Linked DNA regions of Cricetulus griseus. The protein of the gene in region 7 interacts with the protein of the main gene of each other region in a pairwise test. Links are inferred from orthologs where the notes say so. Each region holds a gene or a part of one and is shown on either strand. Other genes may lie near its edges.

Evidence for each region.
Region 1: the proteins of Creb3 (region 7) and Tm4sf4 interact in a two-hybrid assay, tested with the Homo sapiens proteins (2 studies listed by BioGRID and IntAct). The two-hybrid records come from large-scale screens. The link is inferred for Cricetulus griseus from reciprocal best matches to the Homo sapiens genes CREB3 and TM4SF4.
Region 2: the proteins of Creb3 (region 7) and cytochrome b-245 chaperone 1 interact in a two-hybrid assay, tested with the Homo sapiens proteins (2 studies listed by BioGRID and IntAct). The two-hybrid records come from large-scale screens. The link is inferred for Cricetulus griseus from reciprocal best matches to the Homo sapiens genes CREB3 and CYBC1.
Region 3: the proteins of Creb3 (region 7) and Abhd16a interact in a two-hybrid assay, tested with the Homo sapiens proteins (2 studies listed by BioGRID and IntAct). The two-hybrid records come from large-scale screens. The link is inferred for Cricetulus griseus from reciprocal best matches to the Homo sapiens genes CREB3 and ABHD16A.
Region 4: the proteins of Creb3 (region 7) and Fam3c interact in a two-hybrid assay, tested with the Homo sapiens proteins (2 studies listed by BioGRID and IntAct). The two-hybrid records come from large-scale screens. The link is inferred for Cricetulus griseus from reciprocal best matches to the Homo sapiens genes CREB3 and FAM3C.
Region 5: the proteins of Creb3 (region 7) and Tmem140 interact in a two-hybrid assay, tested with the Homo sapiens proteins (2 studies listed by BioGRID and IntAct). The two-hybrid records come from large-scale screens. The link is inferred for Cricetulus griseus from reciprocal best matches to the Homo sapiens genes CREB3 and TMEM140.
Region 6: the proteins of Creb3 (region 7) and Cds2 interact in a two-hybrid assay, tested with the Homo sapiens proteins (2 studies listed by BioGRID and IntAct). The two-hybrid records come from large-scale screens. The link is inferred for Cricetulus griseus from reciprocal best matches to the Homo sapiens genes CREB3 and CDS2.

Annotation. Positions count from the first base shown.
Region 1 is NW_023276806.1:94,014,721-94,018,921, forward strand, and holds the start of Tm4sf4 (transmembrane 4 L6 family member 4), read right to left. Parts: upstream 2,801-4,201; coding exon 2,627-2,800; intron 1,911-2,626; coding exon 1,821-1,910; intron 1-1,820. UniProt on the Homo sapiens protein: Regulates the adhesive and proliferative status of intestinal epithelial cells. Can mediate density-dependent cell proliferation.
Region 2 is NC_048600.1:133,705,601-133,709,898, reverse strand, and holds the start of cytochrome b-245 chaperone 1, read left to right. Parts: upstream 1-1,498; 5' UTR 1,499-1,742; exon of another isoform or gene 1,743-1,753; intron 1,754-2,267; 5' UTR 2,268-2,303; coding exon 2,304-2,388; intron 2,389-3,891; coding exon 3,892-3,933; intron 3,934-4,298. UniProt on the Homo sapiens protein: Functions as a chaperone necessary for a stable expression of the CYBA and CYBB subunits of the cytochrome b-245 heterodimer. Controls the phagocyte respiratory burst and is essential for innate immunity.
Region 3 is NW_023276806.1:231,619,161-231,622,660, forward strand, and holds part of Abhd16a (phosphatidylserine lipase ABHD16A), read left to right. Parts: intron 1-1,204; coding exon 1,205-1,319; intron 1,320-1,409; coding exon 1,410-1,511; intron 1,512-3,500. UniProt on the Homo sapiens protein: Phosphatidylserine (PS) lipase that mediates the hydrolysis of phosphatidylserine to generate lysophosphatidylserine (LPS). LPS constitutes a class of signaling lipids that regulates immunological and neurological processes.
Region 4 is NW_023276806.1:204,885,848-204,889,347, reverse strand, and holds part of Fam3c (protein FAM3C), read right to left. Parts: intron 1,808-3,500; coding exon 1,749-1,807; intron 771-1,748; coding exon 720-770; intron 1-719. UniProt on the Homo sapiens protein: May be involved in retinal laminar formation. Promotes epithelial to mesenchymal transition.
Region 5 is NW_023276806.1:193,071,926-193,076,069, forward strand, and holds the start of Tmem140 (transmembrane protein 140), read right to left. Parts: upstream 2,801-4,144; 5' UTR 2,629-2,800; intron 2,581-2,628; exon of another isoform or gene 2,375-2,580; intron 2,349-2,374; exon of another isoform or gene 2,139-2,348; intron 1-2,138.
Region 6 is NC_048599.1:46,320,216-46,324,167, forward strand, and holds the start of Cds2 (phosphatidate cytidylyltransferase 2), read right to left. Parts: upstream 2,801-3,952; 5' UTR 2,553-2,800; coding exon 2,499-2,552; intron 1-2,498. UniProt on the Homo sapiens protein: Catalyzes the conversion of phosphatidic acid (PA) to CDP-diacylglycerol (CDP-DAG), an essential intermediate in the synthesis of phosphatidylglycerol, cardiolipin and phosphatidylinositol.
Region 7 is NC_048595.1:99,953,772-99,957,739, forward strand, and holds the start of Creb3 (cyclic AMP-responsive element-binding protein 3), read right to left. Parts: upstream 2,801-3,968; 5' UTR 2,641-2,800; intron 2,554-2,640; 5' UTR 2,545-2,553; coding exon 2,398-2,544; intron 2,311-2,397; coding exon 2,154-2,310; intron 2,073-2,153; coding exon 2,002-2,072; intron 1,884-2,001; coding exon 1,794-1,883; intron 1-1,793. UniProt on the Homo sapiens protein: Endoplasmic reticulum (ER)-bound sequence-specific transcription factor that directly binds DNA and activates transcription. Plays a role in the unfolded protein response (UPR), promoting cell survival versus ER stress-induced apoptotic cell death.

The DNA.
Region 1 (4,201 bases), on a different chromosome or scaffold from region 7:
GGAGCCCTGGGTGGCGATATATATTGACCAGACCAAATGTTTCAGAACATGCTTGTTCAACTGCACCGGGAACAACATGACTTTCTTGCTGTACTGTGTACTTCATTTAAATCAAATGAAATTAACATTTTGTATAATACTTTGAACAGTTTCACTTTTTACTTTAGTGACAGAGAAACCTAGAAACCCACAAGCAAGCCTGAGCACCTGCCTGTCTGCTTATTGTGTAATAGTCAGTCATTGTCTAGTTTTGCCCAGCATTAGAAATGCATACATAGATTTCTAAGATATGATTTTTATATTTTCATCCAAATTCCTTAATTGCTATTTTTTCAAGCCGCCATCGCTAACTTATTTGTAAATGATCTGATGGGAAAATGCACTTCCTTTATAGTCAATCATACGAAAATATTGCCAAGTATATACAACATTTGACACAATTATATCAAATGTGTTGTTGCTATTTTTACTCTTTGTGTAAAAATGCTGAAATGACAATTTTTAGTACTTACGATGCTTTTTACAAGAGATATTCTATAAGTGATAAGATGTCATACAAAAAAAGCCTCAGTGTATTATGCACAGAGCACAGTGGCCTTCTGTGTGTACTTGGTAAATACCTTCTTTCTTAAATAAATGGGCAGATGATGGCAAGAAAGAAACATCAAGGTAGTTCTGTTTAAGAATGGACAGACAAGAATTTAAAGCAGGCTTAGCTGGTGCAGGAAAGCTCCAGCTTTCTCATCATCTTAGCTACTCATCATCGAACCCAGGGTTTACACTCATCATATGTTTGTCTCATCATATACCTAAATGCTTAATATTTTTTGAGCCAAGTGTTTTATTTATCTATATCACTATTTTGAAAGAAAAGCTGAAATTGTTAGCAAACATGAACATAGTGTTATTAAGTTTTAGTCACCTAATGTTGCTTGTGTTCTTAGAGCCTTGGGTTCTTCCTTTTTCAGAAGGAAGGCTTGAAGGTTTAGAAACAGCAGACTTATCCCCATCAAAATAAGGATTTTTTTTCCTTCATAGAATAAAAACAACAGGAGGATAAGTTAAAGAAAACATTCTTTGTTGTTGGACACACGTATCTATACAGCAGGGTTTGGCCCATAACTAGGGAATTCTGATCCAGTCCAACTCCCTTATCTTACACTTGGTGACTTGCCCAGTTGCAGAAATGGGACCTGACCTACATGCCAGCATTCCTTCTGCTCCCCTGGGAACATCAATGCCTCCCTAGTCTCCAGTTCACTAACTAAAAGATGGATGGCCTCATGAAACAGGAGAGGAAGCTGAAATCCTGAGGCAGATTCTGGGTGGCAGTGGGAAATGCTGGGCCTCCAGAAATAGTGCCCTTGGCTGTGGTAAAGACAGGAGTTTAGTGAGCTATTAGGGAGGGGAGATAGCATCTTTTATCCTGCCCCAGGTCTCCTTTAATGATGAGACAATTCAGAGCCAGCAGAAAGATACCATTTGTTCAAGTTCTCATTGCTTCTTAGTGACAGAGGGAAGTGTGTGGCCCCACCTCTGCCTGCTCTGTGTGGTGTCATGTCACCCCAGTTCTAAAGCTTTGTCATCGCAGTGGACTTGTAAAACTGAAATATCTCTATACCTCTAAGTATGAAGGTTGTAGAATTTAATATATTTAATCTTTTTATTCTGCACCAGCGAGAATCAGAGCTTAATCATGTAGTCGATGTCCCAAGAGTCTGGCTTGGAGCTGGTTGCTTGTTCAGCACACCCATGCTGCCCAGCACAAGCCAGCTGTGAACTCCAGAGTAATTCTGGCCACTGACCCCATGACAACTCACCGCAAATCGCTTCCCACAGCTTGGGTTGCCACAGCATCCACAGCAGTCATTGTTTTTCAGGCCCAGGAACACCAGTGCGGGGAAGATCATCTGCCAGCAAGAGAAGATGTGCTCAGAGTGTCTGGGGTTGAAGGGAAGCCCACAGTTTTTTTGTTTTTGTTTTTGTTTTTTCCTGGCCAATGAAGACCTCAGGTCTCAGAGGCTTAGGTGGGCAGGCAAGACCTAACAGCTAGCGTGACTCGTAGGTCATGTTTTGAGTATGGGGGCTCCATTTGGCCTGACTGACCAATGTCTGTGAGGAGATTTTAAGAGTTGGCATCCCTAGTTGTCATCTAAAGGGTGGGTTAGGGCAAAGAAAAGAGACATAGTGTCATACTACAACCTGAAGGTCCCGCCCATATTGGAAACAAGGGGTAACGAAATGGTGAGTTCCTGAATGAGAGCTAATCCACAGCTTCTGTACCTCTGCATTCTAACTCGTCTATTTGGATAAAGCACTGTGTTTCGTTTATAATTCTTATCGGCACGATTTTATTGGAGTAAAGCGATTGAGTGGCTGTTAGCTTGATTCTCTGAGCTCAAATATCCTATGGTGATTCCAGCCCAAGCTTGGGGGATGAACTGCTTAGTAAACCAAGATGTCCCCAGCCACTAATACGAAGGGGAAGTATACTAACTAAGGCACTACTTTTCAGTATGTAAAGGTTGTTAGCTCCTGAATGGCATCCGTGTACTAAGAAGCGAATGAAAGAGGATGGGAGCAGGGGAATTATCTTTTAAGGGAATATTAAGGTGTCTCTACTCACCAAGACTCCGCTTCCCGCTATTCCTCCGAAGTACCAGACCTCTTCGGAAAGGTGGCTGTTGTCATCTATCACCTTCCCTCCGGGAAAGAACAACAGGATATTCGCCAGGAGGCCAAACACAGCCAGGGGAATGAGAGTGCCCCCCAGGCACTTGGCACAGCCCCCAGTGCACATGATGGGGTGGCACAGGAAAGCACTGAGATCAAAGACTTCTCACCACCTGCTTAACGGGTCTTCTCAGCGATTTGGCAGTGAGTCCCAGTAGCTAAAATAAGAAATTTAAAATAAGAAATTTAGGACCAAGTGTCAGAGCTTTTGGAATGGTGTCCTTGGAGTTGATTCACTTCTCAACTACTGCAGGCCCTCGGTGGCGATGGGCATTTATATCCCTGACCCTATGTCTTTTTTTTTGCACCCCCATAAATGAGATTACGTTCTATGCAATCGCTCAATTGTTTTGCCATGGCGACCAATAACCTCTGTTAATAATCCACCAGCACAGACAAGACGCTCAAGTTGTTGCAACCAGAGAGAAGGCTGGGACAGGCAGTGTGTAACACTGTCCCTTTAATATCACCATGTCCCTGGCCAAATGAAGAAGTATTCCCCCAGGCATTACATAAATCACTCTCATAATCCACTACACTAACATCCTGATTAACGCTATGCCTCCCAAGCCCTGAGTGATCTGCCTGGCTCTTCTTTGGTCTAGTTCACAGAAAGCCTGAAACACAGGCTGATCCAGAAGGGCTTGTTTTCCTCAATACAAAAGTAATTTGATGGCCTAATTGAATAATGTTGAATTCAGGCCTGGGTTTTTTTTTTTTTTTTTTTTTGCATAAAATCAGAACAGCTACTTACTTCATTGCCCGACTGCTGTATTTCTTTATTTGTTTAGTCAATTAGGTAATTGAATTATGTCTCCTTCCCAACACGCCATGGAATTAGCAAAACCAGTTTTCCTAATCGGGTTGTTTAGTTACTTTGTACAGGAATAGAAACCTGTGTCTAAAGAGCAAGGCAAGTGAGCACTAGGAGAAGAAAGACGTGGCCAGCAGAGGCAGAGGGGATGTGAGTGAACACAGCTACAGGGTAGGGGGAAGTGAAACACATCCATCCATACTGGAGGTTTTGTCAGCTTCCGGAAACACATTCAGTGATTAGCTTACTTTGTGTCACTTGAGATGCCTTAGCCACACTTAGAGCATGTGATGCATTGCCTTGCCCTGGTGCTGTGTGATGGAGCATCTGCAGGACTGCAATGTGGGGAAGGGATTCTTTCTTGCTCTTCACCGAGAGTCTAGTGGTCAAAACTCAGGGCAATGAGTAAAATGTTTAGGGTTTCAAATTGTTGCTAAATAAAAAAACAAATGACATATAATTGTGATGACACTTGTTCCATGACAGAGATGGTTAGAGAAACAGTGAATTGTGCTCTGCCACTAGGGAAGCTGGCTGTGGGAAGGCTTGTAGAAGGGCAGACACAGAGATTCCTTCTGAAGAGTCTAGAAAATGTGCCTTGGTTGTTCTGTATTTACACTGAGAGAACTCAGGGTCAGTGTGAGACCAAACAAA
Region 2 (4,298 bases), on a different chromosome or scaffold from region 7:
TCATAAACCTCTGCAGCCACTGAGCTTTGCTGCTCCCCTTCCCCTAGCTTCTCTTTTCCTATAAATCCCTGCCGTTTTGGCTACTCGCTGTCTTGGTCTCTTGGTTCTCTCTGCACTGTTGTTGGTCTTCTTTTCTCTCTCTCTTCTCTTCCTCTCTTGCTCTGCCCCTCTCTCTTTCCTGTCATGGCTCAGTCTATTCTGCTGGCCATGTTCAGTCTGGCCTCTTCCAGAAGCCCCTGGCTGTGTTTTCCCTTATATCTATAATGAAAACCTCTTCAAATTTCATTTATTTTACATTGTTCGTAAAATTGTAAAATTCAGGTTGTCAATGTTTCCCACGCTGTCCTAGTGTAACCTCTTTATCATTTCCTTAAAACTCCAGAACCAACCAGGGGTGGTGGTGTACGCTTTTAGTCACAGCACTCGAGAGGCAGATCTCTTGGAGTTCGAGGCCAGCCTGGTCTACAGAGGGAGTTTCAGGACAGCCAGAGCTACACAGAGAAACCCTGTCTCCATAAGTCAATAAACAAACAAACATAGATAAATTGAAGGGAGCAGGTAAAAGCACCTCAAATAGATAGATGGTAGGCAGGCAGACAGAAGACAGACCGACAAAGGGAATAGGCAAAAGCACCTTGGCCAGATTTGACTTCAGACTCCATTTTACCTGTAGGGTGAGACAAAGTTCAAGCTGAGAACCTTCCAATATATGACTTACCTCCGTAAACTACAGAACTAGTCATTATGCGTCTCTAGCTCTCTAGAAACATGGCTATTACTAACAACAGAAGGAACAAATAAATTTGATTGCTTGGACTAAAAGCTTGCATTGTATTTGTTGACAGTGATGAATACTCAAGGAAGCCCCTAATCTCTAAATCCTTATTGGTGAAAATTGTAACTGTAACTTGGCAACCAATGTTTGTGATTTTTGTGCTTAAACACTTGCTTCAACTGGCATTTGGGGTGGCCGTTCAGCCCCAGAGTCTTTTCTGTGGCCCGAATGATCCATCAGCCCCCTCTCCTTTCCCCCTTCTTCTTCTTCTTTTTTTTTTTTTTTTTCTTATTTTTTGAGACAGAGCTTCTCTGCCTAGCATTGGAGGCTGTCCTGGAACTCGCTCTGTAACCCAAGCTGGCCTCGAACTCAGATCTGCCGGCTGGGAATGAAAGCGTGCGCCACCACCGCCCGGCTCCTTTTGTGCTGCCCGTGTTAAATCTTGCCTTGAGGTAACCTCTTGTGTCTACCTGGGTTGATTCACACCCTCGGACCACAACAAAATGAATAAATAACTAAACAAATAGATGGCGACCCATCGCTAAGGCTCCTAAGCCGCTGACGCCGCGCTCGGCGGGCCCCAGCTTAGACTCCGGCCCCATCGACCGAGCCCGCCCTCCAGCGCCAGGCCCCGCCCCGCGAGTGCGGAAACGGACGCACAACTCCGGAAGGCGTCGTCACTCAGGCTCCGCCCCTCGGGAGTCCCCACCTGGCTTTAGCCCGGAAGTCCTGGGGACTGAAGTCCGGAAGTTCGGGAGGCTGTCCCCTAGTTCCCTCCCGCTAATTCGGTGCGAGTCGGTTGGTGCCCGCGCAAGTGTGTCCCAAAGCTTTTCTAGTTCCGTCTCGCTGTGCTTCCCGTTCTCATGTTCGTGCCCTGTGCGGGTCACTGTTCGCGGACCTGGATCGGGCGTGTGCACTGTGCGGAGCGAGCATAACGGGCCGCTCGTGGAGCTTGTTGGTAACTGAGGTCAGAGGGAGGCAAGTTGTGTGCCTAACGGGGATTCCAGAGCATGCAGGGCACGATGCTTGATTGCACCTGGGAATCCGAGGAGCCACTCAACACTGGGGCTTTGGGCGTTGTCTCCAGGGGTCTTGCCACAGTGTCCCATTAATTCGGATGCATTTGGGCCATAGTTAGTATGACGGCAGAAACTCAGACACAGGGCACTTTCAGTTCCCTTTCTTGATGGGAAGAGGAGTTTCTGGACGATTCGGCTAAGGTGCCGGAAGCCTGAGAGTTGCTGGAGGCTAACAGAGCAACTTCAAGACGAGGATTCGGTTAAGGAAAGGGTTCCCAGATATGACTGTGGCTTGGAAGTAAGACCAGGCCTCACTTTCTGGGCTGTGTTGTCCCTGTGCCCATGTATAATTGTGAGTTGAGACAGTCTCGTGGATAAAGGCCGCTGTGGACCTTCCCCTGGCCTCCTGTTTAGACTGATGAGGTGCTGCCTGTGTGCAGTGGTTGCAGGCTTCAGCTGTGTGTCTTTCTCAGCCGGGTCTGCTGTGAGGTGAAGCCCAGGTTCCAGAGATGTACATGCAAGTGGAGACACGAACCAGCACCCGCCTCCATCTGACGAGGGCTCCAGGCATCCGGTCTTGGTCCCTGCTGGTCGGTAAGACTTATGTTTTTCCCAAGTCAAATCTTAAGTGATGGGAACAGTTTCTTCGTATTCTATTGGAGGTTCTTGTCAATACAAGACCTTGGTAAAGCATGCTTCATTCACTTTGGTGTGCCTTCCCTTTCAGAGGGCATGCAGGGTCCCCTTAACAGACATGCACTCCCAGCCTGTCTGCTTTCTTGAGGTCACTAGGTTTTCTTCCATGTGACAGGTGATCATGGGTTCACATTTCTCTTCCTCCCTGTCTCCGTCCTCCTGGACTCTGTCCCCCATCACTGCCTACCAGAAGTGTCTTGCATCTCATGAACAGCTGCACTTGTGTTGGCTGGGCTGTTCAGAGTCTGAGGTGAGGTACTGGCTGTGACTTCAGCAGCAGGTTCTCTATAGTCCTTTATGATTCGTGAAGGTCCTCATGACATTCTGCATACTGTGCTCTGTGTTGTATTATCTCTGTGTAGTCTTGTCTTTGCTCCTCATCACAGGTAGGCAATACTGACATCTGGGTCATTGCATTTTTCATTTGATTGCAGACGAGTCTGGTGAATGCCATGGATAGCATAACCTGTTTTTTTTTTATTTAATTTTTTAATTATGTAAGTGTATCTATGTATGGGTCTGTGCAGGTGCATATAGGTGCTGTGGAGTCCAAAATAGTGTTACATCTCTGGCGCTGAAGTCACACGAGGTTGTGAGTGGCCTGCGGGTGCCAAATGTTGGACTTTCTTTGGGCTGTCAGTCCACAAATAACGAAATGGAAATTTATTATGAAAGTTTGGCTTTTAGCTTAGGCTTGTCCCCAACTACCGCCTATAACTTAAACTAACCCGCATCTATTAATCTGTGTTCTGCCATGTGGCTTTTTTTCTATAAATAATTATTTAAGTTTATTTTATGTGCATTGATATAAAGGTGTCAGATTCCCCTGGAACTGGAGTTACAGACAGCTATGAATTGCCATGTGGGTGCTGGGAATTGAACCTGGGTCCTTTGGAAGAGCAGCCAGTGCTCCAACTGCTTGCTTCTCCAGCCCCCATGGCATGTGTTTTTTTCTACATCTCTTCCATTGTGTTTGTCTGACTTGGTCCAAATCTTGTTGAGGTCTCTGAGTGCCTAAATTCATCCCAAGTTCCTTTCGCTGCTCAGAAGTACTGCCTATTCTCTCCTGCATAGCTGTTGGCCATTCAGCTCTTTATTAAACTAGTCACAGTGACACATGTTCACACTATGTGATAAAATGGCCCACAACAGTGCTGAGAACTGAACTGGGTTCCTCTGCAGTAGTATATATTCTTAAACAATAAGCTATCTTTCCAGTCCCCCCCTCCCTATTTTTAAACAAACTTCTTGGCTGTGTCCCCAACCCTGCACTAGGTAGCTTCTACCTGCTGCCCCTGAACAAGCTATCCTGCTGTGAGACAGGCCTGCTTTGGGGGGCTGCAGCACAAGAAGAAGGGGAACTCTCCTTGACAGTTAACAAGATAATCCCTCTCTCCACAGGAATATTATCCACTGGCCTGGCTGCTGCCTATTATAGTGGAGGTAAAGTATGTTTTTCCCATCAGCTTCCTTGTACTTGGAAATAAACAAAAAGCAGAGAGCATTCCTAGTGTGTGTAACCTTTGGGGTGGCCTTTGCCTTGCCTTGTGTGAGAGATGACTATAGTCCATGTCCTGTACCTTAAATTTCTTCCTGTTATAAAGTACTCTCGGAAAGAAGCTCTTTAGTATTTATTTGCCTGCCACTTTGCTACAGGGAAAAATCGTGTGTCTTACCCTCCATGACAAGGTATATAGATCTACCTGTCTCCTAGGTGGACTTAGGCAGAGTTTGGGATACACATGTCACCAACGACCCAGGAAGGTACAGGAACGCAGTTGACTAAGCCTGTAACCTGAGATGAAGGA
Region 3 (3,500 bases), on a different chromosome or scaffold from region 7:
GGACATACAACGGCACCCGCCACATCTTTCCTGTCTGTAGGAGTCCACACACTCAGTAGATGCTTGCTGAGCTCCTTGGGCAGCTCCAGTGTGGGAGGTATGGTCACTGTGAACACAACAGCCAACTCTCTGCCCTGACAGGAGTGCGGTCCAGTTTGGTATTTCTCAGGCTATAGATCTTGACCTATTTGAGTCTTAATTTTATTTTTTGAGGTATGGCCTCATACAGCCCAGGCTGTAGTGTAGCTGAGGCTGGCCCTGAGTTCCTGATCCTCCCAAGTGCTGGGAGTACAGGTGTGTGTTGCTGTACCCGGCTCTATTAGTCAGTATGGAAATCGCTGTAGTGAATTGCAAACATGAGTTTTTGTTTTAGAATGGTGTTGGGGGAGGACCTGGGGTTTGTGTGTACTAGGCAAGTGCTCCACCACTGATCAGTGATCACCTGGTCCTATTTGAGGGCTTTGAAATACATTTATTTACATATGTATGTGTAGGGCCCTCCTACCCTGTGGGACCCAAGGATTGAATGCACTCAGGTTGTCCTTTACCCAGTGAGTCATCTTGGTGGCCCTTGAGAACTTTTAATAAGTTGCATTTTACACATAAACAGAATTATTTGATAACTGCATTTATTTATTGTACTTAGAAATAATCTTGTAAAACTCACAGAATTATATCCAAGCAGACTCTAATTTGCTATAGTTTTAACTTTTGAGTTTTGGATTCTTTCCCCAGCCTAGCAATGGGCAGCATGTCCTGCAGTGCTACAGCCCTCATCAGCCACGAGTGTTCTTCACTGTTCTGGGCGGCTCCACTCTCTTGTTCATCAGGTTGTGGGAGTCGAGTGCAATTGCAGCCTCTTCAGGCAATTGCAGCTATTTTCAGGACATAACCCCTTATAAGTCTAGAGGCATCCAAGTATTTGTATTGTACTGGACCGCAATAGAAAATGGTTTGGGTTTGTTTTCATAGCACTGGGGTTCAAACCCAGGGGCTCACCGTTCTAGGAAGCCCTCTGCCACTCAGCTGTATGTCCATTCCTAAAATGGACATCATATAGGGAAGCTTGGAAAGTGCCAGGCTCACACGGTTCACCAAGGGCTGACAGAGGAAAAGGTTAGCATGGCCTGGAGTCCAACTGCGACTGCTGGAATCAGTCCCTGGGCCCTCCTGGGGCTGGGCTCACTAACCCGTGTCCCCACAGCTACCTGGTGGCACACACCCTGGGGCGCCGGATGCTGTACCCAGGCTCTGTGTACCTGCTCCAGAAGGCCCTCATGCCTGTGCTGCTGCAGGGCCAGGCCCGACTGGTGGAAGAGGTGAGGCTTCCTACCTGCCGCTTGCCCTGTCCTCCTAGGGATGTGGCCTCCTGCCCCTCGTGACCTGGTCTTTGCATCTCCCTTACTCAGTGTAATGGGCGCCGGGCAAAACTACTCGCCTGTGATGGTAACGAGATTGACACCATGTTTGTGGACCGGCGGGGGACAGCTGAGCCCCAGGGGCAGAAGCTGGTGAGAAGGGGCAGGGAGCCAAAGGGGGTGGTAGGGGAGGTAGAGACTCTGGAGGTCCTGGTGCTACAGAGCCTTTGCTGTGGAACCACAGTTAAGAATAACTCCCACCCCACACCTCCAAAAAACAGAAGGTGGTGGCGCACGCCTTTAATCCCAGCACTCACAAGGCAGAGGCAGCTGGGTCTCTGAGTTTGAGGCCAGCCTGGTCTATAGAATGATTTCCAGGACAGCCAGGGCTACAGAGAAACCCTGTCTCAAAAAAGGAAAAAGAATAATGCCCTCTCCCAGCTCCACCCAAAGACGTCCTCATAGGAAAGCTGAAAGGAAGCCAGTGGAGGGCAGGGTCATGGGGAGGGCTCTTTCTCTCTCTCTCAGGTGGAGGGCAGGGTCATGGGGAGGGCGCTCTCTCTCTCTCTCAGGTGGAGGGCAGGGTCATGGGGAGGGCGCTCTCTCTCTCTCTCAGGTGGAGGGCAGGGTCATAGGGAGGGCTCTCTCTCTCTCTCTCAGGTGGAGGGCAGGGTCATGGGGAGGGCTCTCTCTCTCTCTCTCAGGTGGAGGGCAGGGTCATGGGGAGGGCGCTCTCTCTCTCTCTCAGGTGGAGGGCAGGGTCATAGGGAGGGCTCTCTCTCTCTCTCTCAGGTGGAGGGCAGGGTCATGGGGAGGGCTCTCTCTCAGGTGGAGGGCAGGGTCATGGGGAGGGCTCTCTCTCAGGTGGAGGGCAGGGTCATGGGGAGGGCTCTCTCTCTCAGGTGGAGGGCAGGGTCATGGGGAGGGCTCTCTCTCTCTCAGGTGGAGGGCAGGGTCATGGGGAGGGCTCTCTCTCAGGTGGAGGGCAGGGTCATGGGAGGGCTCTCTCTCTCTCTCTCAGGTGGAGGGCAGGGTCATGGGGAGGGCTCTCTCTCAGGTGGAGGGCAGGGTCATGGGGAGGGCTCTCTCTCAGGTGGAGGGCAGGGTCATGGGGAGGGCTCTCTCTCAGGTGGAGGGCAGGGTCATGGGGAGGGCTCTCTCTCAGGTGGAGGGCAGGGTCATGGGGAGGGCTCTCTCTCTCAGGTGGAGGGCAGGGTCATGGGGAGGGCTCTCTCTCTCAGGTGGAGGGCAGGGTCATGGGGAGGGCTCTCTCTCTCAGGTGGAGGGCAGGGTCATGGGGAGGGCTCTCTCTCTCTCTCTCAGGTGGAGGGCAGGGTCATGGGGAGGGCTCTCTCTCTCAGGTGGAGGGCAGGGTCATGGGGAGGGCTCTCTCTCTCTCAGGTGGAGGGCAGGGTCATGGGGAGGGCTCTCTTTCTCTCTCAGGTGGAGGGCAGGGTCATGGGGAGGGCTCTCTCAGGTGGAGGGCAGGGTCATGGGGAGGGCTCTCTCAGGTGGAGGGCAGGGTCATGGGGAGGGCTCTCTCTCAGGTGGAGGGCAGGGTCATGGGGAGGCTCTCAGGTGGTAGACTTGCTTAGCATGAATAAAACCCTAGGTTTCATCCCAGCTTCATATATACTGAGACCTGGGGTGCATGCCTGTAATCCCAGCACTCACAGTGGAGGCCGGGGAATCAGGAACTCAAGGCCAGGGCTGGGTGGATGGTTTAGTGGGTGACGTTTTGCCATCTGTGTTCTGATCTCCAGAACATGTATAAACCCTAGCGTGTTGGACGCCTGGGAGGACCCTGGGAAGCTCTCTCCCAGTCTGGCTCATGTAGTAAAGCCACAAACAACAAAAGGACCCTGCCTCAAAGTCGAAGGCAGGAGTAACAATGGAGGTTCTCTCCTGACCTCCACAGGGGTGCCACAGTTCACATGGGCACTCACGCACACGCACACAGAGTTTAGGGTCTCTTCCTTGGCTACACGGTGAGTTGCAGGCTGGGGATAAAGCACTGTGGTGTGTGCACCCCACCCCACTGTCATCCCAGCCCTGAAGAGGCAGAGGATCTGAAGTCTAAGTCAAGGCCTGGCTGGGACACACAAGACCCTGCCCCACAACAAACAGTAGGTGGATGGTGGC
Region 4 (3,500 bases), on a different chromosome or scaffold from region 7:
AACTCCAGCTCCAGGGGTCCAGTGCCACTTGGCTTCCCAGAACCTGTACCCATGTGAACATAACTACCTGCAGATGAGCATCTACACACACTTAAAATAATGAAAATAAATATCTCTTCTTTCCTTTTTTTTTTTTTTTTTAAAGAAACCTTTCTCTTTGGGGTAACATTCTTTGGGGGAGCCAGTATTTGCTTCAAATTCACCAGTATTTGATAGTAACCTCTTCCTTTCCCTAGAACCTCCAAACATGGATGGGAAAAATATCTGTGGGCTTGTTCTGAGTCCAGCAAATTACAAATGTTTTCCCAAATGTTTGCTACTAATAATAGCAGAGTTCAAAGGTAGACATAGGATGGATTAGTAGGATTATTACTTTTCGAGAACACGAGGCACTTCACGTTAAAACTGTGTGAAGTGGTTATACTGATCTTCAGAGGATTCTGACTTTCAGGCAGAAATTGAAACCAACTCAGGGCTTTGAGATAGTTGTCCTGTCAAAACATGGGATGCTAACATCCTTCAAATCTCAGTGGAATCTCAATCACAGACAAGTTTCCCACCATAATGAAACAGCATGCAAACACAACAGCCCACTTAAATATGGCCGGCATGTAGTAAGATGGAGCAAAACAAAATGGAAATGCAAACGGTGCCATAGTTAGTCCTCTCTGCAATGGGTTCAGCTGCAGCAGCAGGAGCACAGGGTAAGTCACACATACCTCCTCCCCACATGTCAAAATATTTGGTGTCTAGTACCTCCCCTGTTTTTCCTGAAAGAGACAGAATACGACATATTAAATCATACAACTGAAATATCAGCATAGCAACGAGTGACACGCACTCATCAGCAGAAGGAACTGCTTCTGGAACTTATGCTCTGACTCATACACAGAGCTGTGCACCACTGACTTCAGATCAGTTCTGTGCCACAGGTCACTGCAACTTGCGATCATCAGCCCGTAAGAATTACCAAACCATAACCTCTACAGCAAAGAAATCGTCTACTTAAATCAGAACAACCATCTATAATAAACCTTCTCCTTCCTCCCCCCTCCCCTGAATAAAATTGACACTTATTTTATCTTTAAGAACCATTAAACAGAAGAATAGACATTAAAGGTTTTACTTGGGAAAAAGGAAGTACCAAGTCATATGACTACCACCTATGAATGGAGCAAAGAGAGCTTCTCTCTGCTGGGGGTTGGCTGAGCTGCTGGCAGATTTGACTCCCCTGGGGAAGGTACAGGAAACATGTATCTGGAGAGGCACAAGCGGTGCATAAGCTCTTTGTGGTCGGGATACTTAAGATTTACTTTTCTAACACTCACTACATCCAGGACTCAGTGAACTTATCGGCTCAAATGAAGCTCTGAGTACAGCATGGATAGTATTGAGAATGTACAACAAATCATGACACACCCTTAATCTTGTCTACTTGTCTTCATATGAAGTATGAATTCTGAAAGATGCAGCAAGACTGCTTCCATTTTGTGTCAAATTGGTGCTTGTAATTTCACAAGAAACTCGCCCGCCACACAATGCACATGGCTGCAATCCGCCCAAGAATACATGCTACCAAAAAGTAGATTCAGAGTCTCCATCTGTGGTGGTTTGGACAAGAGGGTATCCTTGTTGGGACAGCTTCATTATTGAGTGGTGCTTTCTACTCTGATGCCAAGGACAAATTTTAGTGTGGAGCATAAGTATACCCATTGATTACACTGGTCAAGTACAATGATTATTCTTACCATTTACCAAGGCAACATTGATTCCTCTTCCAACATTGTTCTTAACACCACTCATCAAACTAAAGGGAAAGAAGTCAAGACAAACTCTTAAAATTAGATAGTATATGGAAACACGTCACAGAAATACAATGTAAAAAAGGGTATCATACACATATCAAACACTCAACTCAGCAAATTAAAAGCTTACTACATCAAAGACAGACTTACGTTGAGTCTACTATAATGTCAACTCAAATAACTTCATGCTATTAAAAAAAATACACACAAAGGTACAAGGGTGCTGGAGAGATAGTTCTGTGGTTAAGAACATGTACTACTCCTTATCCAGAGGACCAACACTCAAGTCAGGAGACTCACAACCTCCTCCAACTCCAGGGGATCTGTTGCCTCTGGTGGCCATCCATACCTGCACCCATGTGCACTTACCCAGACACACACAAATTAAAGTAAATTCATTAAAATAAAAATATTATGGCTCAAATGCCACTGAGTTACTGCTCTCTCATACTGTGCAGTGCCACCACAGCCTATCCTTTAGGATATGGGCATCACAAGACTCAATCTCCAGCACCGTCACGAAGCCAAAGAACACGCCCTCTCTTCTCCATCTCCCACAGGGTCACTGTGGTACCGTGACATGCAATGGAGTCATAGTCTATCCAGACATTTTAAAATCCTAAACTAGAGGAGTAACGGAGCACTGTCCTGCCCGTGTTACTTCACTGTGACTAGTAACATAGGTTTTCTCTGTACTCAAAAGGAACGCTGTACTTGCCAATTACCTCAGCACAGGCATTGATGGGCTGCCCAGATAACCAGCGTGGCTGCAGCTTACAGATGGCAGTGTCAGATGACAGTGTGGGATGGAGGGCACGGTGGCACACGGGCTTGCTACCAGTTTATTTCATTGAATATTAAGTCAAAGTTTTTAGCTAATGTTACATCCATAGAATTCAAGGTATTAGCAACTTCCCCAGGAGTGTGTTGGAAGAGGGGCACTGTGCTCACATTAGCATACTGCAAATCTCCCTGATAGAATGTGTAGCACACACATTTTGCAAATGAAATGTAGACTACTTCATCACACCTTCCTCAGAGTCAACTGATTCTCACAGAAGGTGCCAAATGCTTTCCACCCAACTCATATCTGTAACTGAACTATGGTTGCAGGGAATATAATTCTAACAATTACTGAATGACATACTCATTTATGGGAATGGTAAGGCAAAGGAAAATCTAAAATAATGACAAGCTTCATTTATCTGGTGATGAGAATGTCTTTACTAAGTCAAATAAATTTTCAATGCTGGCCAGTTACTTTCTCGTTCTGTTGTTTACAGTATAATGACTACAAACCAAACAATGTCATGGAATGCATCCAGGTCCCATCTACATAAAAAACATTTCCCCCTCTTTTTCATGAGTCTAGGTCTTAGTTTCAAACCTTTCTATTAAGGGACAGTAATCACTAAAAAGTTTCTATAAAGGGGTCTACAAAGGGATGCACTCAAAAACAGTAAATCAAAAGAAACTTCTTAAAATGTTTTTATTTACAAATAAGTATTAGTGAATTTCCTTATTACATTTTTGCATGTGTTTAGAATGTATTTTGTCATCTAACTCTTTACCCTTTCTCACCGCCTCCCCACTCCTGCTCCCCCCTTCTCAGTTACTCCTCTCAAACAGAACTTTAAAAGATGATCATAAAATTCAAAGTAAACTGGGCAGTGGTGTCACACACCATTAATCCCA
Region 5 (4,144 bases), on a different chromosome or scaffold from region 7:
GCAAACCACTGAAGCAGCTGACTAAAAGGCTCATTTAATATTACTTGTTATTTGTCCCACTGTTTTGTTGGCTTATTAGCATTGGGTATGAGCCAGCAGGGAACAAACTTTGGAGGTAGAAAACCATCCTTAACGATGAGCGCCCGTCTCCATCACTTTGCATTGGCAGGCCTCCCAGCAGGCTTATCAACTGCTGATTCATGCATGGGCTGGGGACCAGGCTTCCCAGGACCTGGTTCTGATTTTTGAGCTCTGCCACTCTTCCCTGCAATTATGAGATGGGCCACCCCCTTTCCCAGGCTAAAATTTCATCCCTTGACCCCACTAATGATGCATTTGGGAGGTCCTTGAGCCAGGGGTCTGAAGGACCAAAGACACACTGGAAAAACAAATACCCCCTCCCCACCCCACAAACCTGTGCTCATAAGACATACACCACATAGATTTTTAAGGAGATGATTTGGAGAAGCTTTGGGAAGGAAATAAACAGGGCAAAGTGAGGAAGAGAAACCACAGGTAATTGTTCCCTATGAGAGGGTCAGGAGAGCCATATGCACCAGAGATACTAGGTTTGAAGGAGGCCTGGAAGAGCCTTCCATTAACTAATGTTACAGTGGCTGATTATTAACAAGTCCAAAAAAGAAAACAAGAAACCCCAAACCATCTCAGGACATCATGTCATGCCATACGACAAAATCAAGTTCACATGGATTCAAGAATGAACCCATGTGAAATGAAATCTAGAAAAAAAGAAACTTTGATTTCTGAATGAGAAAACACATTCTGAACTTAAAAGCAAATCAAAACTGCAAGGAAAATTACAGAGTGAGTCATTTAAAGTGGAGATTTCTGTGCACCTGTAATAAAAGCAATACACAATTAAAGACAAAGAGCATGGAAAGAATCTGCAATAACTATGAGGCGATTAATCGGCCGAATGTATGGAAATGTTCATGCAAACATTAAAAAAAAAAAACAACACTGCATGGCATAAAGTGGATGAGGGAATACAGGTACTTCACAAGAGATTGTAGCTAACATGAAAAAAAAAAAAAAAAAAAACACCTTTCCTAATGCTGCCAAGGAATGCCAAGTAACAACCTCTGTCTTTCTTGCTAAAAACTATAGATAACACTCTTGGTGACATTCCAAATGGCAAGACAGACTTTCTAACATGGTGACTCTGAATTTGAAGTATGTATTTTGACCTAATAACCCACTGTTTTAGCCTTATCTCAAGCCAGTATCTGGAATGTAACCCCTGATTTATACACAGGATGGGTTATCCCAACACTCTGCACAAAACTTGAATTCCCAACATCAGACGTCAGTTATCGCACGTCGGGGTGATGAAGCAGCATGCAGCTCTTAGGAAGGCCAACAGATGTGGTGCGAAAGACGCCCAGGAGCCGGGACTGAGGAATTAAAGTTCCAATGCTGGCAACCTTTGGTATTTCTGGGTGACGGCTACACTAAAATAGTCCCCAAATTATGTGCTGTTTGTGAAAAAGGGACATTTATAAAACAAGCCACCGTAGCCTTAGTAACTCAATAATGAGGGAACCAAAATAATAAGTTTAGAAAAGGGTATGAGTGAAATAATATTCCAGCTACCAAATCTCAGATCCGAGCTTAAAAGACCCGGTAGAGGAAGAAGATACTGAAAATGTGCTTGCTTCAGTTGTCCTGAAGAAAAGAAAGACTCCCCCCTCCCCGTTTTCTCTTCATTCCTTGTTGAACAACTCCTTTGATTTTACAGATTAAAGAAGTATAATGGAAGGTATTAATCATCCCAAATTTAAAAAACAAAAACAAAAACAAAAACCCAAACTCTCAAGATCTGTTCCAAGGGACAGCCTCCAGCCCTCCACCCCCACCGCATGAGTTTGCTTTGGGGGTTGAAAAGGAGTCTGTAACAACACAGAGTCTTAAAGTCTCTTAGACCCTACACTTCCTTTTTAGCCAAGATCACGGACCTTTCCTTGGCATTTTCTGAAGTCTTGGCATCAGTTTAGTTGCTGCTGTAGTGACCTGGTTTTGTCTCTGTCTGTCTGTCTGTCTGTCTGTCTGTCTGTCTGTCTGTCTGTCTGTCTGTCTGTTTCTGGAGAACAGCGTGTCCTGGAGCCACAGATATTTACCGGTCCAGGCTGTGCAAAGCCCCGGCTACACGCAGTCAGCCTGAGTGTTTCTAACCATCCACCAGCGTTACCTCCTCCATGGTCTTTGCGGCAGACACAGCGATGCTTGGGAGCATGGGGTGGGACAGAGGTGAAAGTGTAGATCGCACCCCGGGGAGCGGGGAGGCCACCAAGCAAGACTTTTCCCTTTGCGTGTTGCTAGAATCTCAAGCGTGTGAGCCTGGGTTGCTACTTACGAAAACCAAGGCCAGACAGAGCCCACCGAGCACTCATCAAAAGCTGACACAGGAAATCGGCTTCGGGGAGTGGATTCGCTCCTGCGCTCCAGGAACTAGGGCAGAGGAGAAGCTGCAAGCAGCTAGAGCCCGGCCTGCGCAGCGCAGGGCAGCGCAGCGCAGCGGTGTCCAAGTAAACAACTCTCTGAACTTTGGTACTTTAGTGCTGACTGATGTCACTATCAGCTGATTTCACTTTCGTTTTTTTAACTTGCCTGTGTCTTATGACTTTTCAGAAACCAAGAGCGTAAACAACTTCTTGTTGCTGACCGGGACACGTGACCCAAACCACCCGATCAGTGTGCCAGGTGAGGGTCGTGATTGTCCCACACGGTCGCTTCCGAGGGGAGCCTGGACGCCAGCTTCCTGAGCTCCAGGGGATGTGACTCCGATAAACACGACCTGCAATCTTTCTAGGCCCCGACCTTAATCATGTGACCAACCTCCCAGCCAGCGCAGCAGGTGGGACCTGGGTCCCCTCATTCATTTGGAAGGTGACTTTTCTGGGCTGGAAACTTTGCCATTAGCGATGTAACGCTCAACAGTTGTGCAGCAACAGCAACAGTGCGATCCCATTTCGAACTAAAAGAAAAAGAAAGCTTTCAGTTTTGAAATCGCAGGGAGTGTACTCTTGGCCTTCTTTCCTCGGGTGATCGCGGGAACTTTGGAATTGGGCAAGCTTGGGAAAGACAGTAGACCGCTCCCCGATAATGCTAAATTCTTGGGTTTCCCTTTCTTTTGCTATGGCACGCTGCCCCCAACTGGAGTTTTACTTCATCCTAGGGATTCCCTTTGCCTCTGTGCTAGGTTAGATTTCTTATTTTTCTGCTCAAAAGCTTTTCTCCTCCTTGGCTTATTCACTTTTGTTAGAATTAATCTCTGGTGATTTCTTGAGAAACGAGGAACACTAAAGGTAATTTTTTTAAAAGAGTTTGCCAAACTGATATCTTTATTTTATTCTTAATCTTGTTCAAAGTTGAATAAAGCATAGCATTTTTGGTTAAACGAATTTTCCTATACAGTGTTGAGGCTGGATTCCCTGCTCTCTACCTTCCCTATTGTTGGGAAGTTCAAAGCTGGCCTCCTTCCCATTGTCCTTTTAGCCTTTTGCTTTTAAAAGAAAGTGACATTTTAGTGAGGTTTTGGGAAGAAAAAAATAAATGTGCAACCATTTTGCCATTTTCAACTGCAAGTCAAAGTCAACCCCGCCCAGGTCCCATGTTTCTTCCTGTCTTTTGTTGTGACGCAGGGTCTTACCATGTAGCTCAGGCTGGCCTCCAACCCTCAGAAATCCTCCCGCCTTTGGTTCCCAGGAGCTGGGATTACAGACCATGTCTGGCTCCTTCTCCTTTTCCCTTTGTTTTCATTCCAGCAGGGCTAGCTTGCTTGGTTGCTCACTGGTTTTCTGATAATCTGCCTACCCGCTCCATGATTAAGCTTTTAGCTTTTAATAAGCAACTAGCCTCTGGCTGCCAAAGCCTCCATTGCTTAAGCATTATTTTTGTCCTTGAACTTGTCCACACTCTGTTAAACAAGTTTACTTGGGGAGAGTTTCAGAGTTCTTTGCTCTTAAGGTACGCTTTTCCTGAGACCTAGTATCTGAACTACTTCTGTGGAGCTGCACTTAGGGACAGTGTTGCTTCTCTTGACATGGCGGTTGTTAGAGTAGGCAGGTGCTGGTGAGGCAGTAGTCTGGTCTTTTCAGCTTGGTAGTTCGCACATGGAAAGTCT
Region 6 (3,952 bases), on a different chromosome or scaffold from region 7:
GTCTATTAACAAGACAGTTTTGCAAACACAGTTTAGCAACTGTAACATTTTGAGGAATCTTTCAAAATTGTTCTTTAAAGAATTGACCTGAAAACTGTTCTTTGGATTCTTGTACTATGAAGTAACAGAGTTCAAATTCCACAATTCATTTCCCTTAAAAGGCACAGAAACATAAATAAAAACAAACCTTTTTTTTTAAATTAAGATTTATTTTTTCTTTTAAACCAGGCAGTGGTGGTGCATGCCTTTAATCCCAGCACTCGGAAGGCAGAGACAGGAGGATCTCTGTGAGTTTGAGGTCAGCCTGGTCTACAAAGTGAGTTCCAGGACATCCTGTTACACAGAGAAACGATGTCTCAAAACACACACACACACACACACACACACACACTACTACATATATTCATAAAAAATAATGCATCTCGCTGTTTCCTAAATGTATTTCCCATGCATAACTGCTATATTTTAGGGAGCATACTCCTAGCAGACCTCACAGCCACAAGCCTCTTTCATTGCACATGTGGTTTAAATGCACTTGTAATTAATAAGGCTGGACAGCTCCTCAGATCTGCTCTATATAAAATATGGATGTGAATGGAAGAATCAACTGACACTTTATGTTTGGGGAATGGAGCCAAAAAGCTGGGTGTGGAGTGTGAAAAGTGCTTCACTACTAACATTACAGTTGTTTTGTCTTATCTAGTTAAGTATAGCTAACTTTCAGTGTGTGACTCTGTGTGTGTGTGTGTGTGTGTGTGTGTGTGTGTAGCTGTAGTCCACCAACTATCAGGCTTTAAAAAAAAATAGAAAAAGAAAAGAAAAAACAAGGTTTCTCTATGTAGCCCCGGCTGTCCTGGAACTTGCTCAGATCAACCTGCCCCTGCCTTTCCTGGAACACTGGGACCAACTCACGCACCACCACACTCACCCCTCTAGGCATTCTTTCTTCTCCCACCTCCTTGGTCCAGAACCCCCACTAACTTTAAGTATGCAGTCACCCTTAACTAGGCAGGGTCACCCACAGTGTAGCCTTCAAACTCACCAACAAGTATCCAGGGTGAATACAGCATTCTGCAGGGCCATACCCACGGGGAAGATTAGAGATTTGTACTGTCTTTGCAAGATACTCCTAAATCAGGACCTCAGCCCTAACCTTTCTCCAAAGGGATAGAGTTCTCCTCTGATGACCCACTGTCTACAGGAGAAACAAAGTTATTTAAGCCCTCTATCTTTCATCTAAAACATTCTTCCTAGTAAAATTACTGTTGGCATGCTGTCACCAAAGCTTATGCTTATTTCCTTCCTGATGTTCCCGCTAACCAATTTAAACACAGTCAAAAGGTACAAGCTGGCTGTGCGGCTCATGCCTTTAACTCTAGCACAGGGTAGGCAGAGATGGATGACGTCCAAACCAGCTAGCAGGGCTTCATAGAGAGATTCTGTCTAAAACCAAACAAAAGTTTAGAGGATAAAAGTGGGGGTAAAGTGGGTGATGGTTGCCCACACCTTTCATCTCTGCATTCGGGAGGCATAGGCAGACAGATCTCTGGGTTCGAGGCCAGCCTGATCTACGGAGCGAGTTCCAGGGCACCAGGGGTACACACAGAAACACTGTCTCGAACAAACAAAAGGATAGTAAACTCTGTCAACTATTAATCAGAGAAAGGAGGCAGATGCTCCAATACCGAAGACAAGCTAGAAACCATCAGAAGAACCCTTATTTCCGTATCAGCTTGTGGGCCTAAAAAAAGCATCAGCAGGTCATCAGCTGGCAATCCCTGAGTTAACCAGTCCCCACCACTCTGGTCCAGGATCCCTCAGTCTGTTCGCACATCACTGAACCTGACAACTGCTAAGTCGAGAAGCGCAAATGCTGTCATGCAACGTCCACAGTAACACAACCACTCTCCACCTTTCTCAACTTCTCCACACAAACCTTGCACTTTCAATCAAAGGAGCGCCCCCACATTGGTTGTGTCCCTGCCAAAATGGCCTCCTCCTTACCTTCCTCCTTTACCCCATCAAAGCTCACACTTGGCGCAGTAAACAAACCCACCATTGGGAGCACACACCTGCTCATTAACCGGACCGCACGTGGCGTGAATCAAGACGCCTCCCTGATAAAAACCCAACATATTGAATGTTTTAATCAAGTTCAAAAGATGATTTTAATCTCCCAGGGGACAAATGCTATGGCCTGAGTCCTCCCCGCTCCCCATTTAACAGCAGCATTTTTAAAGCGAGAGGTGAGGCTACATCGCACTCACCCGCTCTGTGGGGTGTCCAGTCTCCACACCAGGAAGGCCTAGGGAAGGCGTGGACCCCCCAGAGCTCACGCGCTACTCCCCGCGCCCGAGTAGCGCCCGCAGGCGGCTGTCCCCACGAGCGGAGAACGCTCGCCGACCCCCTGCGCAGCTCCGGCCTGGTGCCGAGGGCCCCGAAAAAAGGTCAGAGGGCGAGGCTGCCGGCGCGCCCCCCGCACTTAACGACGCCACTACCTTGTCCTCCGGCGGTGCGTCCTCGCGGAAAGACCTCTGCCGTAGCTCGGTCATGCTGAGGACCCCGGCACGATGTCACCCAGGGCGAGCAGCACGGTGGCCGTGGAGATGGGCTCAGCGCGCACGGCCTCTCCGCGGGCCCGAGCGCCTCGCAGCCCCGCAGTGCTCCGCACAGCCCCTGCAGCCGCGCCGCTAGCCCCGAGCCCGTGCCCGCCCAGCACCGCTGCCGCCGCCCTGGCCCGAAGAGCCGATGCGCTGCCTCCCTAGCGGCCGCTCGCTCCTCCTCCCGGGCAGCTGTGAGCCAGCGCGCACGCGCACCGCCGCCATCTCGGCCCAGAAGCCTAGACGCCAGGGGGCAGGGCAGCGGGACGGGGGTGGGGGGGATAGGCGGAGTTAGACGCGGTCATTGGACAACAACGGGAGGAGGCGGGAGAAGGGAGCACAACGAACCAATGGGCGCTTGCGTCCTACCGCGTGTGCCCGCGCAGGAGATAACCCGTTACTGGGGGACCACAGCGCCTCCCGGCTGTAAATATTGGCCAGTAATTGACGTTCTCAGCTTAGAGATCAAGTGGAGAGACCAGGCGGACCTCTGAACAGCGGGCATCATAGCAGAGGTGAAACCCGAACTTCAAGCACACGTTGTCTTGCCAAGCTGTGGTTGTTAGTAAATTAGGAGCACTGATTCTGTCTAGGCACAGAGCTCAGAAATCGCTTTGGTTGGTTTGTCTCGTTCAAATCATAGGCCTTTTTAAATCCCATGACAAGTGAGAAGACAGAGACAGGTGGATCTGATCGATGTAGCCTGTTCCAGAGCTACCCAATGAGACCTTGCACACACACACGCCAAAAAAATGGAAATGGATATAATTTTTGCAAGTAAGATCATCCAAAGTATTATAAATTTCTTGTCTTAGTGTTTGTTGCTGAAGATAGAATTCAGGAGTATGCTATTCTCGCACTTGATTTTTTGGAAGCTCTTTTAGCTGACAGGAGCGTTTTCTGTGGCTCCCCTAGATCCCTAATATAGCCTATGCGGTTGATAAATGGATTTTAAACTTTTAAAGGGAAAGTATTTAGCTAGCAACTACAAATTAACTAGTAAGAATTAGAACCCAGATGTTGGTTACCAGAATCATGCTGTAGCCAATGTTCACATTGGCAGCCTGAACCCAGTAACACCGGTATTACTCCAGCATTGCCCTGGTGCAAACCAGGGGCTCCCTGTCTTAAGCTATATGTTAATGTAACAGTAAGAGGTCTTCGCCACAGGGAAGGTTCAGTTTCTTAGCGATTTTGTTCTGAGCTGTGAGTTTTCAGAAAATATCTGAAAAGGGCATTAAATAGTACTGGTCTCTGTGAGTATATTCTGAAGTTCTTGTTAAGATAATTCAAAGTGACAGTAAAATATTTAGACAAACTTCAGAACCTCTGAACTCTGAATTTTGTTTCCT
Region 7 (3,968 bases):
TGCCTGGTGCCCACATAGGTCAGAAGAGGGAGTCAGATCTCCTGGAAGTGGAGTCACAAACAGTTGTGAGCTGTCATATGGGTGCTGAGACTTGAACTTGGGCCTTGTGAAAGAGTACAAAGTGCTCTAAACCACTGAGGTCATCTTTCCAGCCTCTAATTTAGTTAATTAAAAAACAAATTCCTCCTAATCTAGGTGTGGTAGCACATGCCTGTAATCTCCACACTTGGCGGGGAGAGGGAGGAGATCAGGACTTCAAGACCATCCTTGGCTAGAGTTTGAGGCCAGCCTGAGCTACATAAGACTATGTCTTATGTAACAATAACAAAAATCCATCCTTATCCTAAAATCAACATCAATTTTCTTATAATTTCTATCGGTAGGATTTACTTAGAATTTTTGAGGCTATATAGAACATATCTTTACTTTAAAGCACTTCAACTTTTTTTCAGAAATTGAAACTAAATAAAGTGTTAATTCTCATATTCTCTGATACAGCCTAGGCACTAGCCAAGAATGATGTCATTCACTTGTAATCTAGTCCTCAGGAGTTAAAAGCAGGAGGATCAATTCAAAGGCATTCCTTACCCACTACATAGTCTGAGGCCAGCCCAGCCTGGGCTCACAAGACCCTTTCTCAACAAACAGGGCTGCAGGCTGTAGCTCAGTGTTAGAGCACTTTATTCAAATCTCAATGGGTGGGGGACTAAGGAGGAAAAGACAGTTACTGTACTAGGGACAGCACCACTGATGATAATTTCCAAATTCTATTTTCCTTCCTACTAAAACTACTGTATCGCTCACTCATCTTGTAATGGTGGCAGAGGGATAGGAGACAGTGTCTCACGTAGCCTCTGCTTGCCTAAACTTGGCATGACGCTAAGTCTGGCCTTTTAACTCCTGATTCTCCTGCCCTAAATAAACATCTACATAACAAAAGATACCATGAAAACATTAAAAAGGCAAATGACATAAAAATGTTTACCATAAAAGCTAGATGTAGTAGTATATGCCTGTAAGCCCAGCACTCAGGAAGTAGCTTTGAACTCGTGAGGACCTTTCTGCCTCTGCATCCAGAGTGCTAGGACTGTGGAGGTGTGAGCCACCATGCCCAGCTTTGACAACTGTTATTGTTAGACTGGTTCAGCCTCCCAAACTCTACCGTGAGCAAGATATGGAGTACCACGACCACAATGAAATCTGTAAGAGCCCTCCATTTGTCGTCCTTCTCAAGGCTCTATTCTCATGTTAGTTGATATTCAAAAATTATATTTTTGTATGTGGGTGTGGGCTTGTTTGGAGATCAGAAAGCTCGTAGGAGTCAGTTCTCTCTTTCCATCATGTGAGTCCTGGGGATAGACCTGGCAGCAGGGCCTTTCCCAACTAAGCCACACACTGGTAATTTTGAAAGGAACACCACAATTTAGGTAAGCCCTACAGGGTCAAGAACTGCCCTAGAATCTAGCCTATTTATCTACCTGCCCCAGCTTCCCAATAGCAGCAAGTGTGCTTAGATTAGATTCTGACCTCAGTCCTTTTTCAAGTTATTGAGATGAAATAAACTGAATTTGCCTACTTGGGTCATGTAATCCCCCTCTAGTTTTGTTGTTGTTGTTGTCATTGTTGTTTGCTTGCTTGTTTTTGTTTGTTTGTTTTGTTTGTTTTTTGAGACAGGGTTTCTCTGTGCAGCCTTGGCTGTCCTGGAACTCAGAGATCCACCTGCCTCTGCCTCCCAAGTGCTGGAAGGGGCCAGGCTGCCCCTCCAGCTTTTACTCCACCAATAGGAACCTTACCTTTGTGAGAGGAAGTGCTGAGGGCAGACTAAGCCCCTCCTTCTCCAAGAGCTTCTTCTCTTCCTCAGTCAGCATCAGCCTAGAAATCTCCTAAGGTTGTAGGAAATAGTGGAGAGCAAAAGTTGCATGGGGATGTGGGAGCAGAATGGGAGGAACCTTGGCCTCAGTCGAGAAAGGTGGGATAATCCTGAAAACTCAAGTCCAGTACCTGCTCTGTAACTGTATCCCCCACAGGCATTGGAGTCACGCGGAACCCCTCCTTTTCAAAGCTCCCAATATCTGCAAAGTAGGGAGAAAAAAGTAGGGCTAGCTAGGCCAGTGAGCTCTTTCCTCCCCCATAACTTAACATTCCACACTCACCTAGATCTATGGACACATGTTCCTGTGGGAGGGAGTAGTTGTGGTCATGTCGAATAGAAGAGATGGAGGAGCTGAGAACATCCAGCGATGCCGAGGGACTGAGCAGAGAGCTCAGTAAATCCTCTACCTCCCAGTCGCTCAGTGCTTGCACAGAGTTCTAACAAATTCACAGGCCTTGATTTATCTTTGTACCCTTGGGTCTCACGGACGTCGCTTAGCTTCCCCACTCAGAACGCCCACCCACCTCGGAAGGCGGCAGCTCCAAGTCCAGCGGAGCCTCCACATCCTGCTCGGTCGCAGCCCACAAATCTCCGTTTTCCTCTAGCAGGAAGCCCAGCAGGTCCTGATCACCAGGATCCAAAGCTAGAAGGTCCTGACCACCAGGATCCATTTGGGATATCTATAGATAGAAATCCCTGTACACAGATGCAATCTCCGAACCTTAGACACGACCCCTCGGTCTGACTGTCAAATCGGCTCGACTTACCTTAGTCACTCTACTCCGGGCTACAAGGCTGAAGGCCTGCGGTCACACTAAAACCACAGCCACCTCCCAGCTTCTGTTCTACTCAGCTTCCAACACAACGGAAGTGATGCACATAGCCCCAAGGCATCCTGGGACTTGGAGTTCCTTCCAACTCGGAAGTGGCTCGTGTGCTGCGCCACGTCCCGGGGGCTATGCAAATTATAGGGACGTCCCTACAGCTTCCCACACCCCAGGGCGGGGATTCTAGGGACCCGGCTCCGCCTTCGCCGCGAGCTAGAAAAAGGAAGAGTCTAAAAGGGAACACCAGCTTGGTTCGGGCGATCTCTCCAGCGCGCCGCACCCTCGCTTCCTGCCGGGGAGGGGCGGCCAGGCTTTGCGGGCGCCCGAGCATCGAGACCTGCGGCTAGAGCAGCTTCCTGAAGTCTTTGCGACCATAGAGCGCGGGCCCAGGGCGCCGCCGGCGGGTGGGAGACATTTCCAGGACGGAAGTGGACCAGAGTGTCGAAGGGAGGGCGAGGCCGGAGCCCCAGAGCCACCCGGAGAACGAGCGGGTAGCGGGCCGGCGGGCGGGGCGCAGAGCCGGGCAGCGCAGGTAGGCCAGGCGGGCCGGGCCGGAGCTTCTAGGTGGGGCTGCGGGGCCAGGCCAGCCCGGGAAGCGGCGGGCGGGGCCCCCGATCCTCCTGCATATCCTGTGTCCGGTCCTGTTGGGGAGGTCAGCGTCCAATGCGTTTCGTTTTGGGTTTGGAATTAAGCTAGCCGTGTGTCGCGAGGCAGGCCCCTTTCGTGGGAGCAGGCTGTTCTCTCCCTCGACTAGGTTTGGGGGGGAGGGTGAGGAATGGGGTGGCATTGAGGCACTGGGCGGGGATGGCCTTTGGTGTTAGCAGATAGTGAGTATGTGGTTAGGAAAGCTTTGGGTGAGTTTGGGATTAGGTGCGGTCGGGTTTAGGAAGTGAGGATCCCTTCAGAGGTTACGAAGCTCGAGTAAATTTTAAACATTAGCTGCTTTAGTCAAGTCTGTTTCGTGTAGGTGACATTTAGTTTGAGGTCATTATTTTGTTTTCTGGAGGGATCAGCATGATCAGGATACCGAATCAGGTTAAGGATCAACCACAGGAATTGGCTTAGAAGCCCGTTTAGGTACTAAAGGCCATTGTCAGGGTTAGTATTAAGAATAAACAGTGAAAAGGTGAATTAAAAGCAAGTAAAAAATGAGCTTTAGGATTAGGAGTCAGTATTTAGGGTAAAAGTTGAGGGATTTAGGCCTAAAATTAAAAGCTGGATTAGTATGGGTGTCTGCTATGAAAGAGATGAAATGTCAGAATGGGGAA